Linked DNA regions of Struthio camelus. The protein of the gene in region 3 interacts with the protein of the main gene of each other region in a pairwise test. Links are inferred from orthologs where the notes say so. Each region holds a gene or a part of one and is shown on either strand. Other genes may lie near its edges.

What was found.
Region 1: the proteins of SIAH1 (region 3) and KHDRBS3 interact in a two-hybrid assay, tested with the Homo sapiens proteins (3 studies listed by BioGRID and IntAct). The link is inferred for Struthio camelus from reciprocal best matches to the Homo sapiens genes SIAH1 and KHDRBS3.
Region 2: the proteins of SIAH1 (region 3) and INHA interact in binary tests that used the Homo sapiens proteins (3 or more experiments, as listed by UniProt). The two-hybrid records come from large-scale screens. The link is inferred for Struthio camelus from reciprocal best matches to the Homo sapiens genes SIAH1 and INHA.

The regions. Positions count from the first base shown.
Region 1 is NC_090943.1:165,592,492-165,600,770, reverse strand, and holds the start of KHDRBS3 (KH domain-containing, RNA-binding, signal transduction-associated protein 3), read right to left. Parts: upstream 3,085-8,279; 5' UTR 2,687-3,084; coding exon 2,599-2,686; intron 1-2,598. UniProt on the Homo sapiens protein: RNA-binding protein that plays a role in the regulation of alternative splicing and influences mRNA splice site selection and exon inclusion. Binds preferentially to the 5'-[AU]UAAA-3' motif in vitro.
Region 2 is NC_090947.1:27,735,541-27,743,526, reverse strand, and holds the start of INHA (inhibin alpha chain), read left to right. Parts: upstream 1-4,902; coding exon 4,903-5,269; intron 5,270-6,485; coding exon 6,486-7,219; 3' UTR 7,220-7,986. Other genes in the region: OBSL1 (obscurin-like protein 1), read right to left, coding at 879-1,926. UniProt on the Homo sapiens protein: Inhibins and activins inhibit and activate, respectively, the secretion of follitropin by the pituitary gland.
Region 3 is NC_090951.1:15,989,197-15,997,464, forward strand, and holds the start of SIAH1 (E3 ubiquitin-protein ligase SIAH1), read right to left. Parts: upstream 3,485-8,268; 5' UTR 3,466-3,484; intron 1-3,465. UniProt on the Homo sapiens protein: E3 ubiquitin-protein ligase that mediates ubiquitination and subsequent proteasomal degradation of target proteins.

The sequences.
Region 1 (8,279 bases), on a different chromosome or scaffold from region 3:
TGGCTTACCTACAGTATTTCAGTTAAAGTAAATGTAAACAATAAGTGTAATACTATTAAGACAGCCAGAAGTCAAAAAACTATTACATAATTAAGCTGGTTATTTTAAGCACTTAAAACCTGTTGTAAAGACATTCGCACAAATACCTGGGTGAAGACAAAATTGAAAAAAACACCCATTCCATTCTAAACTGAAAAATTAACGCAACTTTAACTTAAAAATATTATACCAGTCATTTCATATGAACTACTCTAGAAAGGGGAGAGAACACTTGGGGGGGGGGGGGGATCCGACTTAAAAAGTACAAGTCAGTAGTTACAGTTGCATTCCTAATAATAGTTACTTACAATTACAGCAAAATAATGAACCAGACACTTCTAAAGTTAGTGTCATGATGGAATGAGATGGGTTTGTAAAACACGGGGTTTTTTTAAGTGTTACATTTCCTACTTTATTATACAGATGTCTCACCTCATTTGGCTCCCTGGTGACTGCACAACTGTCTAACACAGTTATACACAAGGACTACACAAATCTGCATTGTATACTACAGGTAACAGACTACTGAGCTTTACTTTTAGTTACTTGTCCCTAATAGCTGTAATACTCAAATCAGATCTTAACATAAGACTGCACTTTCAAAGCAAGCAAAAAATCCAGACACTAGAACAACAAGGTTGCATCCATGTATTTGTCTATATTTTTTTCACTGAATGCACCACTTATTTTTGGAGCTGAAAGTATACATTAAGACACCAAGTATTACATGATTTTAGAAAAAGCCAGAAGTTTTATATTTCTGCCCTCTAATATCACTTGTTTCAATGTACTCCAAAAAGCTATCAGAGTCCCAAGAAACATTAGATGTACAATCATGCATACTCTTTCATAAAGACTAACTGTAAAATAAGAATTCACATGCTTTTGTAACTTCCTTAAAATAATTTACACACACAGAAATCTAAAATAATCCTTCCTTCACTATTTGCGGAGGAACTTCACTAATTTATAACCATAAAAATCTCAGCCATCAAGCTAAAAATGTTAAACAAGTTTATTTACAGCACACAACACAAAACTACTTGCTAATACTTCCCCTCCAACACTATCAATAGTGCCACTCTGTCAAAAATGCCAGTATGAACAATGGGTTTTCTTTTTTTTTTTAAAACCAATCCATTGCTTAAGACTGGTAAGTTAGGGAAAAATATGCAGAATACCAAGTCCAAGGACATGCAGCTACAGACCACCAGGCACATGCATTTCACAGCTAAAACTGACAGCTACCTGCAAACACAGAATATTTCAGAAAACAGTCGACTCTCCCTCAGATTGAGATTGACATTTTGTAGTCCATTACACAAAAAGCTATGTCAATCAAGGCAAAGAAATCGCACAACTGGAACAGCTCTAAGCTATTATGAAGTAAAGTTCACTAGCGCAGCTTTGCAATCACTCCAAGTAATAGAAGCCAGAGTCATCGGGGCTGTCATTTTAAGTTACAGGATCAGTTCATAACTTGTTTTATTTGACTGTTCCAAAGTGTCTCAAGTGTTTGATTTCATAGAAGACTTGCATTCCAAAGTCACCTGTCTTCCATACAATGCACCAAATTTACATTAAGCCACATCACGTGAATCACAGGAAACGAGTTTTATATCCAGTAAAGTGTCATTTAAACAAAGAGCTAGTACTTCAGTGAAACGATACATCAAACGTTTCAAAGTGAAATATCTTGGGGGGGATGCAGAGAAATCATTTCTGAATATATGAAGTTTTATAATCGCAAAGCAAACATGTGTTAGGTATTGAAAAGATTCAGCAAGATGTGGTTTTGATTCCTTAATATATTAGGGTCACAAGTTTCTAGGAAAAGGCTTAGTCTGCAAACTCCTTTCAAAAAAAAAAATATTGAGGCATATAGAAACAATAATCTATTGCTTACAAACAATATCGATCTACCCAGAAACATTTTAGGGAGGGGAAAAGTCTTATGAATAGGAGAAAATGGAGCAGGGTGGGAGAATGAATAGCCTAGTGCAGAGGACTAAAGCAATTCTCCACATGCAACCACCCAATTTGGGACAGTTTCAGTGAAAACCACGCGTTTGCTAGCGTAAAAGCAACCTTTCAAGCAGCACGGGAAGGCTGGAGATGCGGGAGGCTTCAGTGCTACATTTCCCACCGCTTGCAGGCGGGCGGGCAGGGGCGAGGTGCTCCTTCTGCCGGAGCAGCAGCCCGCGAAGCCTCCTCCCTCCATAAAGGCAACGCTCCGGGTCACGCGAGATGCGCTGCCCCTCGCGCGGCGCCAGCGCCCCGCAAAAAAAAAAAAAAAAGAAAGAAAAAAGTGAAAAAGAAGAAAAAACAAAGCGGGGGGGGGGAGGAGGGGGGAAGAGAGCCAGGTGGTACAAAGCGAACCGCCGCCACTAAGCCCCGCACTCCGCCGCTCCAAAACCCCTGCCCGAGGGCGAGCGGCTCCGCGGAGGCTCCGCGCGTGGGGGGGGGGGGGAGCGGGGCGCAGCCCGCGCGCGGCCCCCTGAGGGGCGGCGGGGGGGAGGGGAGGCGAAGGGCGGGCGCCCCCCCCTCCCCCGCGCTCACCTTGGCTGACGAGGCGCAGCGCGTGGGTGAAGGACGGGTCGAGGGAGTCCTTCTCCGCCATCAGCTCGGGCAGGTACTTCTCGTCCATGGCGGCGAACCCAACGGGGCAGCCGGCAGCGACGCGGGGCCGGGTCCCAAGCGGCGATAAATCCTTCGAGGCAACGCTCCCCCCCGGCCGCCTCCCGCCCGCCGCGGCGGGGACGCAGCCAGAGGGAAGCGCCGCCAGCCCCCGGCCCAGAGCGGGCAGGCGATGGGGGCGCAGGCCGGGGGACGCCCCCCACCTCCAACCCTCCTCCCCCTTCGCTCCGGCCGCGGGTAAATCCCTCCGCGGAGGCACAACGGGGCCCCGAAAGCCGCTCAGCCCCTCCTCCCCCTCACACGCGCGCTCAGAAGAAAAAGGGGAAGAACGAGGGGGGGGAAAAAAAAAAAAAAAAAAAGCAGCCAGCCGACAAACCGCTCACACCGCGGCGCCGCGCCGACTGAACGGGCGAACCCCTCGGCGCCAGGTTTATATACCCCAGGACAAGCCCCGCCCCCTTGCCGCCCTTCAGCCCCGCCCTCCTGCCTGTTAAGCCCCGCCCCCTCCCCTGCCCCACTGCCCCCGCCCTCCAGCCCCTCCCAATGGGTGGTGCTGGCCCAGCCTCCTTCGCTAATGGCCCCGCCTACTCAGCCGGCGCCTCCTATTGGGTGATTTGGGTTGTCAGTCAGCGGCCCACCGCAGATTGGGATTGGTGGGTGCGCTTCGCTCTCCCCCCCCCCCCGCGGGTGTTGGGGGAAGGGGGGGCGGTCGCGCCGCGCGGGCTGCGAGCGGCGTCGCCTCACGAGCAGCGGCCGGGGCGGCGGTGCCCTGAGGGGACGCAGCGAGGACGGGCCGACCGCAGGGCAGGGCTCTCTCATTAAAGCTGCGCGCTTTCATGACCCTCTCAGCCGCTCATCTCCTTCCCCCCTCTTCCCCCGAGAGAAGGGCCGGCGCTGTGCCCCTCCCGCAGCGTCCGTTAAAACCGCGCGCCGCCGATGAATAAAACATGCAACCTGATAACGGCGAACTCGTTTCGGCGTCTGTGGGCGCTCGTCCGCCGCCGTCTGCGGGTGAGCAACGAGGCGAAGGGACAAAGCGGCGGGGACCTTGTGCCTTCTCCCCCCCCCCCCCCCTCCGGGCCGCCCCCCGAGCTGGGGCAGCAAGGCCGCGGCCGGGCTGTGCCCCCGTACCACCTACCGGGGGGGGGGGGGGGAGGCCCCGGGGGGAAGATTTGTTCCCAAAGGAGAAACAACAGCCTGTTTTAACTCTCCCCCCCCCCCCCCCCGAAATCACTATTGAGCCAGTATTTTGTCCTTTCCTCTCTGGTAGTATAAAGCACTTCATAAGTATGAGCCAAATAATCTTATTTCTGCTCAGTTATGACCACCGCGAAGCGGGTTTGCGAAGTGGCAACCTGATGGAGCTGGAGGAGCTGCCGTTTCCCGCGAGCCCTGCTGGGTGTGAAACCCGCTCCCCCGCCCGCGCCCTCTCCGCTGCCGCCACGCTGGCTGCAAACAGCCCGTTTTACAGGTAGGAGAAGCAAAGCTCGGGATTGTGCTCAAGCGTTTTTTTTTTCCTAGATATTTTTCAGAGGATACACTTAGTATATTAGATCATTACTCACGTTCAGCTTTAGCTTCGAGGCTTTGCACAGCTTCCTTATTTGACCTCAGGAGTTTCATCAATGAACCCTTGGTGACAAAAGCCCGAGGGAGAGACAGAAAATTAGTAAAGCGCTAAAGCCAAAATCGTAAGGCTAGAGTAACGTTTTTAATCAACGTTTATTGGAGAAATCAATAGGGAACTCTCCAGTGATGAGGTACAGTTAAAAGACCACTAAAAAGATTCTTAACTTGTGGTAATAAAATAATGTCATATTTATTATTATACTTAATGCCAAAAAAGTTTTCAATATATCTCAGTTACATCCATGCAAGATGGGGAGGAGAAAAGCTCTGAAAAAAGACTGGCATGAGAAATCACTCACTCAGAACTTAACAAGCAAAGTTAAGGCTCCCTTCCCAGAACTGCATGCGGTCTTTTACCCATAAAACAGAAAGATAAAAAATATAAAACAATATCTGTTATGTTGCAATATGAAATAATTGATTTACATTCCATATACAACCCCTCCAAATATATCTGTCCCAGCACTAATAACCACAAACAAATTTACATTTTTTTAAGTTCTCCTGCGTGACATCAAACTTGAGGATATGAATAAAACAAGCTACTGGGAAAAGTTGGATTACAATGCAGGTTTTATTTCATCCTTCCTTATACAGCTTATACACAACTACTGAAATGCAGCCATCTGTTGTGAAAAAGTCAGACACATACAACTTTACCACAGAACAATGTGTAGGAGGCTAATCTTTATTGAGTGACCTGGAGGAAAATAATCCCTACCTTCACCAGTAAAGCTAAAAAGGTATTTAAAGTCCCTCTACAGCATACAGGAACTCAATCAGAAAGGTAGCTATATTATATGGTATAAAACATAATGCACCTTTCTTGCAAAAAGATTTATTCTCCCTGGTAACTGATTGAATAAACATTTGCTGTTTCAAGAAACCACAGTATTTCTTCCCAAAGTATACCAGTTCCCTCTGATTTATATAGAAAGTATAGATATAGAAAGGCTTACTGGAAGTCTGGAAGACTCATTTCTCACCAGATATATAATAATGTAGCAATTACAAAGTTATGGACGTTATATCCTATTGCTCAAACCCATGCCTGCACTTAACTAGTAGAGTATTTTCTCCATTGAAATTCACTGGGATATAATAAAACAAGAAATGAACAGAAAAAATGGGAAATTGTGAGCAACAGGCTGTAGAAAGCTGCCTATGGTGTGGTGATCTGGGAAAAGTCCACTAAGCATCGTCGTTGCTGTCCAGGAAAAGCAGGAAGCACCAACTCTTTAAGGATTGGTTGCTTTCTTGTTAGCGAAATCTATACAAAACTTGAAAAAGTTGCTTGATCAAGGAACTGCCCAGTAAATAGTAGCTTTACTAGTAACACAATTTTAAGAGCCATGAGTCCAAACTTTCAAAACTCATGACTTACTCCCTAGCAATAAACTAGTTTGTTGTTTTTTACGCACACGTGCACTCTGTTGCTAATACACACATGCTATTTTCAGGAATTTATTTCAGTAGGTAGATATCAGTTAGGAACCACTGTGAGTTGTAATGTCCATTACTTCTCTTAAAGCACCAGGACCAAAATTAACATTTGGAATTATTTAATTATTTAATATTTAGAAACATTTAATATTTAATAGAAGTTTTAAGACCTTTTCATACCTTCACTCTCTGGGGTGAGATTTAACCTCCTTACTTCCTGGACCGGTTGACACAAGTAAGGGGACAGCTGAAGACTGCTTGAAGAGGCTGTAACTGAGCTGCACCTTCCCTCTGGTAGGTAGGAGGTTCTCCATAACTTTTGGCAATTCTATTTTCCTTATTTGCTGGGGCAGCATTATAAGCAGTATTTAGTCATAAAGTCTTTGTTCCTAATACTGTAACTACACCTAAGTATTGTTTTTCCAAACTTACTCTCAGCTCACGCTTTTATTTGCTGTGGCCTGTGTTCATTGATCATACCGAGCTGCCACTGACCATTTAGACTCTGCAGGGGTTTATTGTGTTTTTTTACCTCCGATTTACTTGGTCTCAATTTAAAGACTATAAGAGAAACAGAACAGTTATTTATCTGAGACTTTGGCTCATTAAAATGCATACAGCTGAAGACCTATAGAAGCCGAGTCTATTTTGGGAAAGAGTTTGTCACAAATACCACATCTAGTGAATGTGTCCTTGATGTGACTCACCATAGTTCTGATTAGCATGTTGCTAAGTAGATGCTGGCTTCCTTAGTATTCCAATATATCACTTGCCAATTTCTATTAGGCATATTGAAATTATCATTGCTCTTCTTTCGCTGTTATTCCTGACCTTTTTCTTTTTTTCTTTTTTTTTTTATTTGCACGTGTGTTAAAGTATGAAGAAATAGTCAAGAGTTTTCCGTTATGTCCAGGCATCCTTTTTCAGAAGCTCCTGATGCTTTCTTCCAAATAGCATGGCTTTTTCTTTTACAAGCATTTGCCCCATAGTTCAAAGTTAAGGCTATTTTCATCCCCAAATGAATATTGTTCCAGTAGCAGCCATGCTGATGCCATTTCTTTTAAAAGATTTCTTACATTGCTTTCATATTTCATTCACCCTTTCTTTAAATTTATTTTTTTTTATTTCTTTAAATGTATTTCTAAGAGAAATATTTATTTCTGAGAGAACAAGGTTTGCAGGAAGAAAATATCATGTATTAGGCTAATACAGGTAGAAAAAAGAACATTCTTTCAGACACTTAAACTCATTGCCACCTTATTTATAGCCACTGTAACATGCCATAGTGTCACATGCACCTGTTCATCCAAGTCTTCCACTTCTTTTGCACCTTTTTCCATGGTATTGTGCAGAAGATATGCCAAGCAAGTTGTTGATTGGTTGCTTGTTTTTTTTTGTTTTTTTTTTTTTGTGAGGATCATATGCTTCTTTTAAGTTGTGCTTTTGTATATCACATTATAAAGTCAGTGCTGAAGAAGGCAAAGGTTTATCAAGATTGTTCCACAACGTTTTCTCGTGAGTTTCAACTGTTCCTGTGCGGCTCTATCAGTAACGAAAAAAACAAAATTCATAGTATCCACAGCTCCTTTCTAATAAGCATAACTTCATATTATTCAAGAGCTACTCTAGCTTCTGCCTATTAAGTATCAACCTATAGTGTGTTGCTGTGGCAGATCTAAACTACTACAGTAGAATAAGTAAATGACAGTTTTTCATGTTGTGAAAAACATCATCCGTGATATCATCCAAACTGTGATGCCAGTATCATGTTCTTTCTTCCCTTCCCAATTACTCTAGATTTCTGCCAGTCTTAGTCATCATCTTCATTATGATTTTCAGCTCTTATAGGAAGAAATTTTTTTAATTGCTTTAACCACTAACTCTGGAGAGAGTTTGCTACTTCTCTCTTCTTAGATGCAACCAACATGAATCACTTACAAACAGTTTTCTATTAACTGTGACTGAGTTTTAGATTGCATCTTTCTTGTATCTTTTGCCTGTTGTCATTAGGATTTTGCCACAGCCCTTTTTGTAGTTTCAGTATACTAGAATAACATTAACAACAACTAATTCCTAGGAGTTCTTCTGGTATTTCCAAACTGACATCCATAAATCCATGGGCCCCGATGGGATGCACCCACGAGTGCTGAGGGAGCTGGCGGATGTTATCGCTAGGCCACTCTCCATCATCTTGGAAAGGTCCTGGAGATCAGGAGAGGTGCCTGAGGACTGGAAGAAAGCCAATGTCACGCCAGTCTTCAAAAAGGGCAAGAAGGAGGAGCCAGGGAGCTACAGGCCTGTCAGCCTCCCCTCCATCCCGGGAAAGGTCATGGAACAGCTCCTCCTGGAGGTCATCACTAAGCATCTGGAGGACAAGAAGGTGATCAGGAGTAGTCAGCATGGATTCCCCAAAGGGAAATCATGCTTGACCAACCTGATAGCCTTCTCTGATGGAGTGACTGGCTGGGTAGATGAGGGGAGAGCAGTGGATGTTGTCTACCCGGACTTCAGCAAGGCTTTTGACACTGTCT
Region 2 (7,986 bases), on a different chromosome or scaffold from region 3:
CTGCCCCTGGCCGCTATTTTGGGCCGCGGCAGCTGGGCGGGAGGCGTGCAGCAGGGTTGGAGCCAGACCCCCTCCCAGGAGGGGCCCTTCATGGTGCTGCAATGCCAAATGGCGCTGCAAAAGCCCCCGCTGCCTGTGACGGCCGCTGCCCCGGGGAGCGATTTCCCAGAGCGAGGGGAAACACGGCGCAGGTCAGCAAAGCCAGGCGATGCCGCCAGCACCTCAGCGGCGAGCTCCCGGGGATGCAGAAGCGTGCAGGGCAGCACGCCGCAGCAGGCGTCCGGGCAGGCGGCGCTGCGCGTGGGGTGGGTGCACGGCCGCCGGCGGGCTGGCAGCGGGGCAGCGCCAGGTGCTGCATCGCCCTCGGCGAGGGGCCGTCCTGGCATCCCCAGCTGGCAGCGGGGCTCCGTGCAGGCTTTGCCAGAGGGACGGGGCTGTCGCCAGCGCAGACGCTTGGTGCCGTGCCCTGCAAGGCTCCCAGCCAAAGCTGCTCTGCGCTTGCAGGGGAATTTGTCACCAGCATGTCGCGCCCCCTCCCTGCTCGCGGCCTGACACGCGCAGCCCCCTAGAAACATCACCCCTCTGCTTACAAGGAGAGGGGCATGGCGGGGGGACAAACACGGGAGCTACCAGCCCCTGGGGCAGCCCAGCAGCCCACGCCTGCCGCTGGCCCCGTCTCGACAGACCCCAGAGGCGCCCCGGCCCCCGCGCGCCCCCAGGCCTGCCCGAGCCCCTGGGAGGGGAGCCCAGCAGCGCTTGCTCAGCCCGCGTGCCCTGACATGCACGTGCACGCGCAGATGCGCCCCTGCTAGGCAAACAGCCCCAAAAGCACACCCGCAGCCCCCCGCAGCCCCGGCGGCCCGTGGGCCGGTACCTACCCTTCACCTGGAGCTGCACAGCGCTGAGGGTCTGGCCGGCCGTGTTGGAGGCGGTGCAGATGTACAGCCCCTGGTCCTGGGGCTTGCAGTACAGCACCTTGAGGATGAAGTAGCCCTCCCTGTCCTCGTAGACGAGGTGCCTGCGCCCCGGGGTGACGGGCTTCCCGTCCTTCTTCCAGACGATCTCCGGCTTGGGCTTGCCGGTCACGTAGCAGCGAAACTTGGCGTGCTTCCCCGCGCTCACGGCGAACGCCTTGGCGCCCGGCACGCCGGCAGGCACCTCACCGTTGGGCAGCGCCCAGCCCTCGGGCACGGTGCTCTGGACGGCGGCGTGCCGGCGGCGGTGCTGCTGCCGCTCTCCCGGCTGCTCCAGGCCGTTCCCGGGGGACCCGCGGGATCGCTCGTCTGGCAGCCCCGGCGCCAGGGGCTCGACCAGGAGCACGGCCGCAGCCAGGGCTTCCCGGGAGCCGCTCCGCGCCCGGCACACGTAGACCCCCCCGTCCGGGGGCCGAGCGCTGAACAGCTTCAGGAAGTGCCAGTCTTCAGGCTCCTTCCCCACCGAGAAATGACTGCTCTCAAAGAGGTCGGAGAGCTCGTGCCCATCCTTCTCCCAGTGCAGCACCGGGCAGGGCTGCCCTGACACCCTGCAGGTGAACATCACGTCCTCCCCCCGGCACACCCGCATCGACGAAGGCCGGACCAGGAAGACGGGTGGCTTGTTTTCATGGTCTCCCTCCTCCTGGGGCTCCCCGGCCTCCACTTTGAGTGTGGCAGCAGCATAGGTCTCGCCAACGTTGTTCTTGGCCTTGCAGACGTAGAGCCCGCTGTCCTCCGGGGTCACTCGGGAGACCAGCAGGCTGTAGACATTGCCCTTGGCCTCCACATGGAAGCGGCCTGACGGTTCGATCGGGGTCCTGTCCTTCTCCCAGAGGATGCTGGGGCGGGGGTCGCCCGCGATCTGGCACTTCAGGACGGCGTCAGCGCCGTTTTGCACCGTGAAAGTGCGCGGGTAGGCCAGGAACCTGGGTGCTCCTGCAAACCCGTCCATCCCGGCCTCCCCGGCCTCACAGCGGGCAGCTCAGCGGGACAGCAACGGGGATCATCAACCTGGAGCGATGCACGGACAGACCGGGGCTGGGGTGAGGCTCCAGCTACGGCCCTGGTGCGGGGCACCTCCGGGAGGCACCCCCTGCGCCCCGCGAGCACAGCAGGAGCACTGCATCTCCTCCCCTCGCTCCGAGCCCCCTGCCCCACTGGGCTGCAGGGACACGGGCTGCCCCAAGCCCTCCCGGGGGCGGCGGGGGCCTGAGCCAGGATGCCAGCGCCCCACGAACATGCTGTTTGCCTGACTTGGCGCTTCCCTGAATATGCTCCAGCCTCAGCCCAAACCAGCCATTTTTCTGCCCAACAGCCGTGGGAAAGGTGGCAGAAGACAGTGCTTCGTGCCCCAAGGTGCCTACAGCCCCGGCTGTATATGCGTACAGACAGGACCCCCAGCTCCAGGAGCACAGGGCCCCTGGCTGGATGGGGCACGGGAGCGAAGGCAGCTCCACGCGGGGTGCCGGGGACGGGAGATGGGGCAGGGGCTGGGGCCGAGGCAGGAAGGGCCCCAGCCCCGGCCGTCCCCACCCGCGGGGGCATTCCTGCGGTATCGGGTGGTGGCAGAGCCACATTCCTGCAGCATCTGGGCTGGCTCAGGCGCAGGTGCTGATAAGGGGCTGTCATGGCGGGGGGCGGGGGGGAATCCGGCCGGATCCGGGTGCTTTCTCCCCGGCTCAGCAGGACAGGGAAGCAGGGCTCCCAGCAGAGCTCCCTGCCTGGGGCAAAGAGGGGCTCCCCACGGAGAGGAGGTCCCTGCTCCAGAGCGTGGCTGCAAAGGCAGGATCCCCCACCCCAGCCATTAGGTATCAAAAGCCGTAACTCTAAATGAAATAACCAGGCGCTCAAGCCCCAGGGGTGCAGAGGGAACGCTGTAGGGACCGATCCTGCTGCCAGGCAGCCAAGACACCGACTCGACCCCCAGCCCCGCAGGTGACAATATCCATCATCACAGGCTGGAGAGCGGCAGCGTGGTCTCTCTGCCTGGCCTCTGCCCACACCGTCACCGGGGCTGGGGGCAGAGGTGTCTCTGCACTGCTCAGGCAGGGCAGGACATGGGGAGAGAGAAGCCAAGATACTGCCTGAGCGAAAGGGCAGGGGAGGGTGGGACGGGGCCGGGGTCCCCAAGAAGGAGGGACCAGGGCCAGATTCTCCTCCCAAACCTCTACCTGCAGGCAATGCATTCATTCAGTGAGGCATTCCCGGCCAGATGCTCCTCTAGTCCCACGGGCTGCCCCAACAGCAGCTCCCACAGACAGGCACAGCCCCGACGGCTTGGCCACTCTGCTACTCCCCTCCAGCTGCCCCCGTGTCCCCCCGATCCCCCTGCCCCACGCAGCCCCCACACCACAGTCCCCTGCCCCACACACGTACCTCACTCCTTCGCCTCTTCCCTGTGTCTCCCAGCACCGGCACCCAGCTCCTGCTGCCTCCCCCAGCTCTGCTCCTGGACGTCAGCATGCAGGGACCAAACGTTACAAATGCCTGCAGCTGCTGTCCCCAAAAATACCCTCTGATGACACATTGGGCTGATAAGACTGAGCCTGCTCCATTCAGTGCCTTGGCTGGGAAGGGCTGGCCTATGTATAGCGCCCCAGCAGGAGAGCGGCCCTGCCTGGAGTGGGGAGACAGTCCTTGACCTCCAGGGCTCCAGCGTTCGGCAGGCTCAATGGTGCCACGGTGTGGGGTCAGCCTGCCGCAGGAGAAAACACATTGTGTGGGACCCAGGCTGAACAAAGATGGGACATGCCACCCGGGACATGCTGCATGGGACACACCACATGGGAGGGGATATGCCACAGGGGATGCACTGCATGGGATGCCAGGCTGCAGCGAGATGGGACACACCATATGAGACACACTGCATGGGATGCCAGGCTGCAGCGGGATGGGATGTGCCACACAGGATGCACTGCATGGGACACTGGGCTGCTGCAGGAGTGGGCTGGCACAAAAGCTGCATCCCACCATGCAGACACGCAGGATTCCTGGAGACAAGACTCCTGGACACCAGACTCCTGTCACTGTCCCTGCAGGCAGCCGCAGGAAGAAGGGCAGGATGCACTGGGGGGGGGAGGGGGTCCCCTCACAGCCAGCTGCCATCAGGCAGCTCCAGCTCCCAGGAGCAAGTCTGCAGCCAGGCAACCCAAAGGGCACTGTGGCCTCTTTCACCTGGTGCTACTGTAGGGTCTCCAGCTGGCTCAGCTCTGCCTCACTTCTTCCTCCTCCAACTCCATCGCAGGCTGGCCCAGCCTTTCCCTGGCCACTGCCTGTCCCAGGCTGCACGGGGTCCTTTTCCCATCCCTCCTGCTTCGTATCACGGGACCTTGTCAGCCGCCTCCTGCCCACCACAGGCTGCCCTGGAGATGCCGCAGTTCCCCCTTCCCCAATCTGTCCTTCCTCGGGCTCCCTCCTCATGTCCCTGCTCCCCAACGACCTCGAGGTGACCAAGACATCTCCAGCACAAGCATGCCCAGCCTGCCACCCCTAAAGTCCCTCCCCACATCTGGGCCTCACAAGGTTCTGGACCACATTAGGTGTCTGCCCAGGTTTCATCACCCAGCACAGCCACCATCACCTCCCCCTGTGCCCCCAGAAGCCCTGAGCCCGCAGCTCCCTCACCCTGCTCCAGCATGGGGACACCCCACACCGGCAGCTGCCACGCTCGCCCCAGGGTGCCCCTCCATCCACACTGGCACAGCAAAGCCTTCACGGCAGCACGCTGCCTGCAGCCTGGCCTCCCCCAGCCCCGTGCACCCACTGCCCCGGCAGCATCACCCCCGCGCCCCCCTCCCTGGGCGCCTTCCCCCCCCCCCAGACCACACTGTCCTTGCAGTCCTTGCATTCCAGACGTCTCAGCGCTTTCGCTGCCCAGAGATAATATTCACGGCGAGCAGACGTTTGCGTCAGTGTCAGATACGTCTCAATGCCACCGTGCCCCAGGCGGCGCGCAGTGGGCAGACGGGCTGGGCTTGCAGGCAGGCACCCACGGCAGAGCCCCCCGAGCAGCCGGCCCACCGCACGCCCCGCGGCCATGCTGCTCCTCTTGCACCTGCTGCCAGCCATGCTGCCCCCCGCCGCCCTGGCCGCCTGCACCGGCGCTGGCGCCGACCGGCAGCTCATCCTGGCCAAGGTCCGGGCACGGGTGCTGGAGCATCTGAGCCCCCCTGCACCCCAGGAGGGGCCCCGGCAGGAGGGGAGGAAGATGCATCGGAGAGACGTCCTGGAGACCCCAGAAGTCCCACACGAGGAGCTGGAGGACACCTCCCAGGTGATCCTCTTCCCATCCACAGGTGAGAAAGCCCCTGTGAGGATGGAGAGGGCAGAAGAGCTAAGCTGGGCTGGTGGGTCAGGGCATCAAGCATGCAGCAGGACTATGATGCTGGTGTGGGACAGAGGAAGCAGGTAAGCCAGGCTGGGACGTAGGGGTGGCTGAAATGTGACGGAGAGCCATGAGGCGGAAGGGGAAGGCAGGCAGGGGTAGGCAGGTCAGCCCAGGACCCGGCAGGGAGAGGGGCAGAGGGCAGGTGAGGGGCACAAGAGGCAGGCCAGGGTGCTGACAGCTAGACAGGCTGGGGACTGCCTGAGCCAGCTGGGATGCAGAGAGACGGAGAGGGATGAGGAGAGGACAGGGCAGGATGCTAGGGGACAGGGCAGGACACTAAGGGACAGGGGCAGGATGGAAAGGGATGGGGGCAGGATGCTAGGGGACTGAGCAGCACTAACGGATCAGCCTAGGGTGCAGAGGGGCACAGCTGGCCTCCCGCCAGGGCTCAGCCTGCCCCGGCCCCAGGGAGCTGCTTGCTGCACAGCCCTGGCTGTCCCCCGGGCAGATCTTGCCGCTTGGCCGGGAGCGGGGGGCAGAACGGCCTCCCCACTGGGACAGCAACCCACGCTGGGCACACTGGGACCCCCTCTCCGCCCCACACCCCATGGGAGCCTCCAGCAAGCCTCTGCCAGCCTTCAGTCCCCCTCCGCAGCCCGCAGGGTCAGACTGAGCTGCCCCGAAAGGCGGCCAGAGCCCACGCTCTGCCGCAGCCGCCGGGGACACGGGGCTCCCCAGCCCGAACGCCCGCGAGGGGCAGGACGTGCTGCCCCAGCCCCGACCCTGCCCACGCAACACAGGCTCCAAGCCCCCCGGCGGCGGGCGCTTCGCCCCGTGGGCCTGAGCCTGCCGGCTGTCCGCGAGGCCGGGGAAGCGCCGGGCAGCAGCCCTTCCCGGAGCCGCGGCGCAGGCACCTGCTCGGCCGGCGCCGTGCCGTGCAGTAGCTGCTGCGCAGCGCTAGATGTCAGCTGCCCCGCGCCCGGCCGCCGCCAGGCCTGCGCGGCGGGCACCCTCGGGGACCCCCTCTGCACCACCCCAGCCTCTCGCCCTGCTTTGGGACACCCTGGGGTGCCTCCTTCCCCCGTCCCGGCGGCTTGTGCACGCGGTCAGGGCGCAGGGCGTTTGGCGGCGTGCCCCGGCGCGGGCACCTGCTGCAGCACCCCGGTGCTTTTTTCCCCTTGCAGACGTGCCCTGCGAGCCCACGCAGCCGGACAAGCTGCTGGAGGAAGAAGGGATTTTCACCTACCTCTTCCAGCCGTCACCCCACACCCTCAGCCGCGCCGTGACATCGGCCCAGCTCTGGTTTTACACCGGCCCCGCGGCCGCCCGTAACCACTCGGCCCCGGACGTGCTGACCCTGTCGCCGCAGGGCCGCGTGCCCGTGGTGGCCACGGCGGTGCAGGCGCCCGACCACTGGACGGTGTTTCATTTCGCCCCCGCCTTGCTGCCCCACATCTCGCAGCCGCTCTTCGTGCTGCTGGTGCGCTGCCCCGGCTGCCCCTGCCTGGCCGACGGGGAGAAGATGCCCTTCCTGGTGGCCACCACCCGGGCCAAGGGCAGCGAGCGGGCTCGCCGCTCCACCGTGCCCTGGTCCCCGGCCGCCCTCGGCCTGCTGCAGCGCCCGTCGGAGGACGTGGCCGCCCACACCAATTGCCGCCGGGCCTCCCTCAACATCTCCTTCGAGGAGCTGGGCTGGGACAACTGGATCGTGCACCCCAGCAGCTTCGTTTTCCACTATTGCCACGGCAGCTGCTCCGAAGGCCACGGCTTGAGCCACCGGCTGGGGGTCCAGCTCTGCTGCGCCGCCCTGCCGGGCACCATGCGCTCGCTGCGTGTCCGCACCACCTCCGACGGCGGCTACTCCTTCAAGTACGAGACCGTGCCCAACATCCTGGCCCAGGACTGCACCTGCGTGTAGCGCCCGGCTCGCCCCGCTCGGCCCCGCGCGAGGGGCTCCCTCCCGCCCCGGCACGTCCCAGCCGCAGCCCTGCCCCGGACCGCGGCCCCGGCCTTCCCTCGCCCTGCCCCAAAGCCCTGGGCAGCCCAGGATCCCGTCCAGGGCGACGGAGGAGTCACTGGCACGAGGGAGCCCTGCCCCACGCCGCGGTGCCGTCCCCTGCTCGGGGACGGGGACGAGAGGGGGACCCGGAGCGCCCTGCCCCACGAGCCCCCATGCCACCCAGCGTTTCAGCGCTCCCGCCGGCGGGGCGTTCACCCTGGCAAACCCGCGCCAGGACCCTTCCCCGCACGGCGCGGGCCGGGGCGCAGGGGATCGGGACAGGCGCAGCCTTCTGCAGAGGAGCTGCCAGATACGTACCGCCAGCCCAAAGGCAGGTTTGCATCTCCGACCAGCTCATCCCATGTTTCTTCCCATCCGTCCCTGCCCCAGCACTTTGTCCCCAAAAGAGACTGGGAACGCGCGAGCAGGTCCCCCTCCTGCTGCTTAGTGCAAAGCAGCCCGAAGGCGTCAGGGCACCTGGGGCACGGTTTGCGGTGGCACCTGCAGCACCACGCGGCAGCTCGCTGCTGCTGGGGGGGACGTGGCAGCGAAGCCCCCCCGAGCCTGGTCCCAGGGCCTCGAGGAGGAGCAGGCGCCACCTGAGAAGTCCCATAAAGCCAAGCCCTGACTCCCTGCACGCCCCGGTTGGGCACCCAAGTCCAGAGAGCTGCTGGGTCGCTCCCATC
Region 3 (8,268 bases):
CTGGATTCCAACAGGCACACCCCAGGGAGGCACTTCAAGACATGATAAAATACTATAACCCTGTCTGCCTGTACGGCACGACAAATGGCATTAAGAACACATATCACCATGTTGTTTTTTTTAAATAATATGCAGTTGAAGGCTGTATCATAATCTATGCAAGTAGAGGGCAACCAATAGCCTCAATCTTGCTATTTCCTAGTATTTTTAGTGTTTAACCCTGCTTCCTTAAAAATTCATGGAGAGAATGCTAATGGAAGAAAATCCTAGTTTGTTCAAAAAATAGAAGCTCTAGAACATGGGGATTTCTTACAAGAAACTATTCCTGCTGCTAGCCATCCTACATGTTTAGAAATTTTGGACTACAGTTAGAGGAAGCTACTGCCACAGCAATACAATCAATCTTCTCTGTATGTATCCTAAACTGTACTGTTTGCGGACCAGTTGCAAATATATAGACTCCAGTAGAATTTCAACAGAGATTAATCTGTCCCTTTAGTCATCATATTATAGACAATGATTTTCATAATCAATAAATTTCATCAGTGAGCTTCCAATAAATGGCCCTTAGAAGTGTTTTTCTTTCTCTCTTGAAAGCTTTATTCCACTATTCAGATTTCAACAACTTCTCCTTAGCTAGCAAGTCCATTAAAGAAACTAATTTAAGCCATGGCCACTTCTAACTTTTTCTTCCATTTTCACTGATGTTTACCATAACCTCCCTGCTTTTCTCCCATTTTTATTGCCATCTTCCTAACTGCTGTATAACAAATAGACATTGAAAAAGCAAAAGGGTATCTGGGGTTGCTACCAAGGAGAAAGTACCCCCTGGGAATGAAAAGCAACCCATGGCTGCTGCATCTGCTGATTCTAATGGAAACTAATTTAATCTAGTTAGAGGATAGACACGGGGGTTATTAGTGCCAGAGGCCTTCTAAAATATATACATGTTTACCATAAATCCTCATAAACTATTTTAGATTTCACTTTCATCTTTGCAGCTTTCTAGTTTTGTGACTTTGTTGTAACATGGCACTTAATGAAACCACTACAAAATCCTTTTACTATGTAAAACTTTTATCAGCAGGATTTTATACAGTACAGCCTGGGTACCGTCACAGTCAAGAACTGGGTAGCAGGGGAGGGCATCTGCTTACATCAGTAGTGCTGAGTGAATGCATCCTCTCAGCAACTTATATAAGCTTGCATGTAACAACATTGAAAATACTATCCCAAAGCCTGCTCACCCCAAAGAGAAAGACAGTGAAACGACTCATTCATATCCTAGAAAGGAAAAAATCTCTACCAAATTCATCAATACAAGTTAAACTGGGAGGTTATAAATTACAATCTCTTGTGCTTGATGGAAGGAAAAAAAAAAACAAGTAAAAAGTGAATATTGCCCCTAAAATTCTTAGTCCAGCTGAGGAACTTTTCTAAGCCACTACCGGTTCATTATTTTGTCACCTTAATTTTTGAACCGCGCTTATGAAGACACTGAAATTTAACTATTCTGAGCTGTCTTAAGCACGTTAAAAACACTGTACAAACTAACTGCAGCCAACAACCTTAAGAACTGTTGATTTCTTTGCCTTTTGGATCACCTGGTATATACGTTTTCGGTGTACTAGCAGAGATTAACTTAGACAAGCACTGTAACTATGCGCTATTACCCATACAGACAAGATCCCCTAAAAGTTACAAGGCTAATGTGAAAACGTCATTTACAGTTTTAGAGATGTGACGGATATTATTTCCTACATCAAAAGGACTATATTCTCTACAACACAACTTATCAGTAACGTATGCATTATAGTGTGTTTGCAATCTGCCAAAGTTCGTTCAGGCAGGCATAATTTGTGAGTATCCTTTCTAATACGTCTCCTTTTGAACTTCTCTAACACATATGGTACCAATCTTCTGTATTCTCAAATACCCTGAATTCAGTGAAGTTACAAGAAAAGCAGAACAGGACCTGGACTCCTGGGTTTCTGTTCCTAAGAGGAGATTCTGCATGTCCTGGGGGAAGATGGAATAGTTGCTGCACTTCCCCAATTGCAATTTTCCCTTGTCTTCACATGTGCACAAAAATAAGATTGGTATGTTTGTTTCCCTTCCCTCCCTGTACCTGCAAGAGGACTAGGAAAAATTCAGCTCTTCATGATTGCAGCTCATGGAGTAATCCTACTGAACCAAGACATTTGAATGGTGATGGACGATTTCTCATCCTTTTGATGCCACATTTGAGACAACGTACAGGGAAAAGCTGTGACGTTAGCCACGAGCAAGTCCTGTGGCTAACATACATACACACAGTCCAGATGCAAGTGGCTCCGTTTCTTTGGTGCAAGACTGAATTTAATTCTTTCCCCTATACAATTCCCAACTGACCATCTCTCCAGATTACATGACACAAGTATATAAGGTGAAAATGTCTTATGTCAATTGGACTTTCAGAGATATTGATCATCTTTACATACTTCTATTTGATCATTTGTCCCTTCATATAGGTAAAGTTGTCATAGTATAAAGTCCAATTTTACACCAGGCTAAGTTACACAGGTAAGTTCTTCTTCTATTAACCACAGTCATGCCTAGAAATTGTAATCACGTGCCAGGACTGCAGTACGCTAGCTGCTAAACAAACATAAACCTAAAAGGATAGTCCCTGCCCCACAGAGCTTATTACATAAGGTGGGAGAGAGCAAGGAGGATATAGACAAAAGAAAGCAGCAAGACAATAAAAATTAGCAGTATAGAAAGTAGTTATAGTACACTGACATCCTGATATTTATCCTCTATTTTGTAGGCATAGGAAAAACAAACCACCAAACAAGCAAAAGGTTTACTGGGATTTGAATGAAAGAGACAGAGAGAACTTTGCAGATGTTCAAATGTGCAAAATCTCTTCTGAAGTATGAAAAGAAGTATAGGAAAATATGAATATTCTAACTGGGTAGTTAGCAAAAAGGCATGGAGCCTACTGTGTCAAGGTCATTGGAGGAAGGATTTAATGACTCAGTACCATTCAGAGGTGATGGACAGTAAGGAGAGGCTGTGAGTGGATTTAAGAAGGAAGATGGTTTGTTGGATACAGTAAGCAAATCAGAACCATTAGAGAGGGATCAAATTCTCAAACTTACTGCCTAGATAAAAAGAAATCTTCTCAGCAAGGTAGATATCAGGAGAAAAGAGTACCAGAATTTTTTCACTTACTGTGAAACATGGATATATAGTCTTAGAAATACAGCATTTTTCTGGCTGATATTACTGTATCCATTCAGCGATGAATTACAGTACTGAGAACCAACTCTCAAAATGTGGTTTTGGAAAGCATTTCACATTCACCAACTACATGTTTAAACGGAAGAATCCCCTGGCATCACCACTGGCTTGCATACAGATTCACTTATGCACACTCCATATTTCATGAGGTGCCCACATCAGCCATATAACATTACTCACCAGAGGAGTCTTGCTGATTTTTCTCCACTGTTTTTTAGCAAGACAAAGCTTCAGTTTCCTCTGGGGTATACCGTTTCCTCTTCGCATCCCAGGGCACAGAAGAGCAGCTGCTGCCTTTCCTTATATTCCTCTGCTGGCTATAGGGAGTGATTTTCATGCTTGGTGTGTAAGACTTTCATTAGAAGAAATCCATTTTAGGCAGAAGATCTGTTCCTGGCTTGGGAAAAAGTTAGGTTATTTCTTTTGTTACATCTCCGGCCTCACGAAGCAACTGTATTAGGTCTTTTCAGTTTGCTGAAAATCTACGCTGAGTTTCATCTTCTGCAGAGCTTCATATGTTTATGCTTCTGTAACGGAGTTACATATATTAACTTACATAGGACTGATTCCAGATTGTAAAACGCCTTGGAATTCCCACAACATTAGAACGGTGCGAATGGCAGGAAACAGTCTTACCCCATTGGTGTTATAGGAACACGGCCCTCTATGGTCTCTGCAGCAGACTCACACAGAGATTTGGAGGTCAAGCATGACTAACTGAGCTATAGCCAAATGGCTCTTCAGGCTAACTCACACCTTGCATTTAAGAGCTGTAGGTATTTCTGTCCATCTGAGAAGGCTGCAGGGGTGAAGGGGAAGCTATGTAGGATGCAGAGTATTCACAGAAAGTTAGATGGAGAGAACAGAAACTGCTGTCATAAGTCTTCTGTACATATGTGTCAATGTTCTGAGCTATAATTCATAGAAAACCTCCCATCAATTTCAATGGTTTGCAGAGAGAGTCTAAACTATTAAGCTATTTTACAGTTTTCATCAGTAGTTTTGTGCATCAATTCTGTTTGATCTCCATCAGTACAGATGTAATTTGTCAGGCATCAGATCTTCAGGAAGCTCCCCAGGTACTTGTTGATAGTCCTCATAAAAAGTTCGGGTTTATTATACTCCTCTACTAAAACATGTGCAGAAGAACTGCCTTAAATCATCTGCATTTTCAGAAGAAATTTCTAACAAAGCCTATGTTACAGTCTCCAAGCCTTTAGCGATTTCAGCCTAATGGACAGACTAATTGCTCAAGTCTTTGAATCTCTCAATTGGAAAGAGATTGCTACCTGTAATTTTATTTATTAACTGTGCACCTAACTTTAGTTCTCTGTAGGAATTAAGTAAAGGATAACAAAAGGAACATCATCTCATAAAAGCAATACATTTAAGCGGCTAGGAATTAACACCCACAGTTATGGCATAATCCATCGTACTTGCTTCTCTTATCTTCTACATATAACTGAGAAGCCTGCCTGGATAAAATGCAAACAAAGAGAACTTGTGAGAACAGCTAGGACCACTGATGCATATATCTGGATACGTGCAGCAGGAAATTAAAATCAACATTGGCATCCAGGTTCTCACTTTACCCTGCTGACCTTCATATGGGGATTTTGTCGGCAAGTTCCAATTTGGTGAATAGAATTTAAGAGTCTACACAATGAAAAGGGATCTTCTATGTTGGAATGAGACGTACAGGATAGATCATATATGCTTTCTATATTCCAAGACTTCTGTTCAAGAAGCTGCAAATCCATATTAGATTATTCACTTGAGAAACGAAGAATGGTGGTAGCATCTGTATATCTTGCACTTGCCTAGAGCATAATTTAAACAGGAAAGATGATATTCTTTTCAAAAACACAACTGAAGAACTTATAAATGATTAAATAACAAGGTTTTGGACTTCATATAACCTGAACATGGTCTCCTTTCCAGTCGCCACAATCTAATTTCATCCACGGTAAGATCTGAAATAATTTAATTACTGGAGATGTAAAATATACTACACAACTGTAAATTAATCTTGAGGGAGGGAGGGAATGTTTTCATGTGGCTCACACGGGAAGAATGGGGTTATGATAAATACAATCACTACCTACTCTATTGAACACTGCTTTCCAGTTTAACAGATCCAGAGTTTTCCGGCTACAGCACTTCCAGCCCCTACCAATGGAACAGCTCACAATACGAATCAGTTACTTCTTCGGTAACAACTCAGTGATGTTACAAAGAACATGCTCATCACATGAATAAATTCCTCTCATGCACGATAGCCATAATATAAATCTTCAAATGCAAGTCAATTTTTAATGCAGAGGAACAAAAAGATATACCTTCTAGGCTTTCAAGGGAACATGGATGCAGTATCCAACAGGACAAACCACTTTTTGAACATTATATTACTCACTACTGTCTTATTTTAACTCTCCGCATTGATTTGCTATAATCATCATCCTTCTCACTTTGTCACTAGTCTAGTTACACAATGAAAATACATTCTGTAATTAATATATTGCTCTATTGGGGAAATTTATGAAATTGCCAATATTAGTACTGTAATTTATAGTACAGGAAAATGTCTACAAGTGAACATTATCAGCCCACTCGTCATCAAAATCTCTGAATCACACCTCATAATTCTGATTTTCCCCTAAAATACACCTTGCATTGCTTCAATACTTTTTTTAGTATTTCAAGAAAAGGAGGTGTCAAGGGCTCAAAAATGTAAACCAATACAGATTTAAGTATGTCATGCAAAAGCACCTCATCTCAGCATCACGCAAAGCAGATATATTCAGCTATGGTAAGATACAGATTACTTTTTCCCCATTATTCCTAATAGAAAGCATGAGTGACTGTTTAAACAAAATACAACCATATCAAATGCATATTTTTTCATTTGTTATATGTCAAACTGAGGAATATTTAAACCACTTTTTTTTTTTTTTTTTTAAGAGAAAAGATATTTTCCTCTTAATGTGTAATTTAACCTTGACATAATCTGGGAAACTAACCAAAACAAAAGGACTAAATAGTTTTATTTATACAGTGATTCGCTGCCAACAAGGGTTGGATACAATAGCCAGAAGTCAAGTTCCAGTCTTCTGAGTGAAATCCACAATAGAAAGCAATATCATCATTTCACATTTTCTGGAAATAGTCTGACTTTTTTGCTACTCGTTTGTCAGCTCTCCATCAAGCTTCTACCACACCATAATGACCTGTTAGCTACCACAGATTATTCATTACTTAATAAGGTCTTACAGTGTAAGGTCCTGCATTATTTGGCTTTATATATTTGAAGCCTCATTAGCAAAGTTAACATCACTAGTGAAAGACTTAGTCCTGGAAAGACTTAGTCCATTGGAAAGAAAGACTGAGCTGTTATACCATGTAGTAATTTCACAAGTTGTATTAGATACACCATTTAAAGTACTTCCACACTAGTATAGCTATGTTTACATTACGTCTTTTGTCAGTATTAAAAGAAAGTATAATTAACATGCACCCACTCTATGAGCAGTAAAACCAATGAAGTTTGGCTTCCTGATTGGAATCTGAGCACCTGGGGCATCTGACCACTTACTCTCATGAATATAGTAAAGAAAAAAATGTCCATCAAAGCCTCCACCACTTTGGTAGAAACTGGACAGTGGTGTGAAAGTTCACAGAGCTACAACTTGAAAAGGAGCTGAAAGAGGACAGAATCTCTTAAACCTAATTTCACTAGAAAACAAAGCAAAGTAAATATGAAATCTCAATCTAGACTACTGTACCATCAAAATATTATGGTGTGAGTCAGGATTTAAAAAGGACAACCATATTTATAAATATACATGCTAGAAAACATTTAATAATAATAATTTAACAAGTATGAACACAGTATTATTAAAAAAAACAATGAGGAAATAGAATATGTTAACATTCTTTTCAGTATTCTGGAATATTTGAAGTATTTTATTAACACATAAAGTGCTCCTTAAGAAAATATATTTAATATATTCTGGTCATATCACCAACTGCAAACACCTGTGTAACACGTGATTCACACAAGATAAAAATAGTAGAGATCTATAAAAATGCTTGTTCTACCTTTAGCATACTATACTTCTACAGTCCTGCACAGAAAGTTTAAAGCCTAGAATTTACTTAGATTAATTTTTCAGAGATGCCACGAGATCCTAAAAGGACCTTCAGATGTTGTCAAAACTCCCTTAATTTATCTTGAAATGTATAAGCCAACTCACCTTCAATTGCTGCTAAATATTTTCCACCATTCTTCTCCTGCTGGCATTACACTCTCTTCCTAAAACCAGAGCTTAGCATGCTGCAGGCATTAAACTTATTTTGACCTATGCTTGGGGCCAGAAGAAGTGAATACATGTTCTATTTTAATTTCTTCAGAGTCAGCTTTCGAAAAAGGTCAGCATGCAGATACTGGGGTCAAAGCCCATTGACACAGATAATAACGTTACTTTGGTGGACAGGGATGGAAGTTCATACAGGAAGTTTCTATCCTAGTTTACTTATCAGTGGAAGGTCATACACAGCAGAAGTCCCTACGACTGCTTCAGTTGAACCTAACAAATGAGCCGATTAAAAGTTAGTGGAACGATATCTAATTTCTTCCTCTACACTACTTTCAAGAGCAGGATGAGCATCGTGTGGTAACACAGAGATGCCGATGCTACGGATGTTGAGATCACCTTTCTGCAAGCATGGCCCCCAGCCCACACTGCACCCTGCTTTGAGCTCAAGTCTATCCCAGGACAGGCCTAGGCCAAGTCACAGCAAAAATTATGGCAGTCCCACTTCCCGTCTCGTCTGAATGGATTACAATATATGCAATTCACTTTCAGAACCTTACAATTTCTACTTCAGTCACACTCTTCCTCCTTGGCATATGTTTCAAGGAATATCAGTAAAGTATGTTTAAAAGAAGAGTTATTTATATGGTGCCTAATAAGTGGTATATAA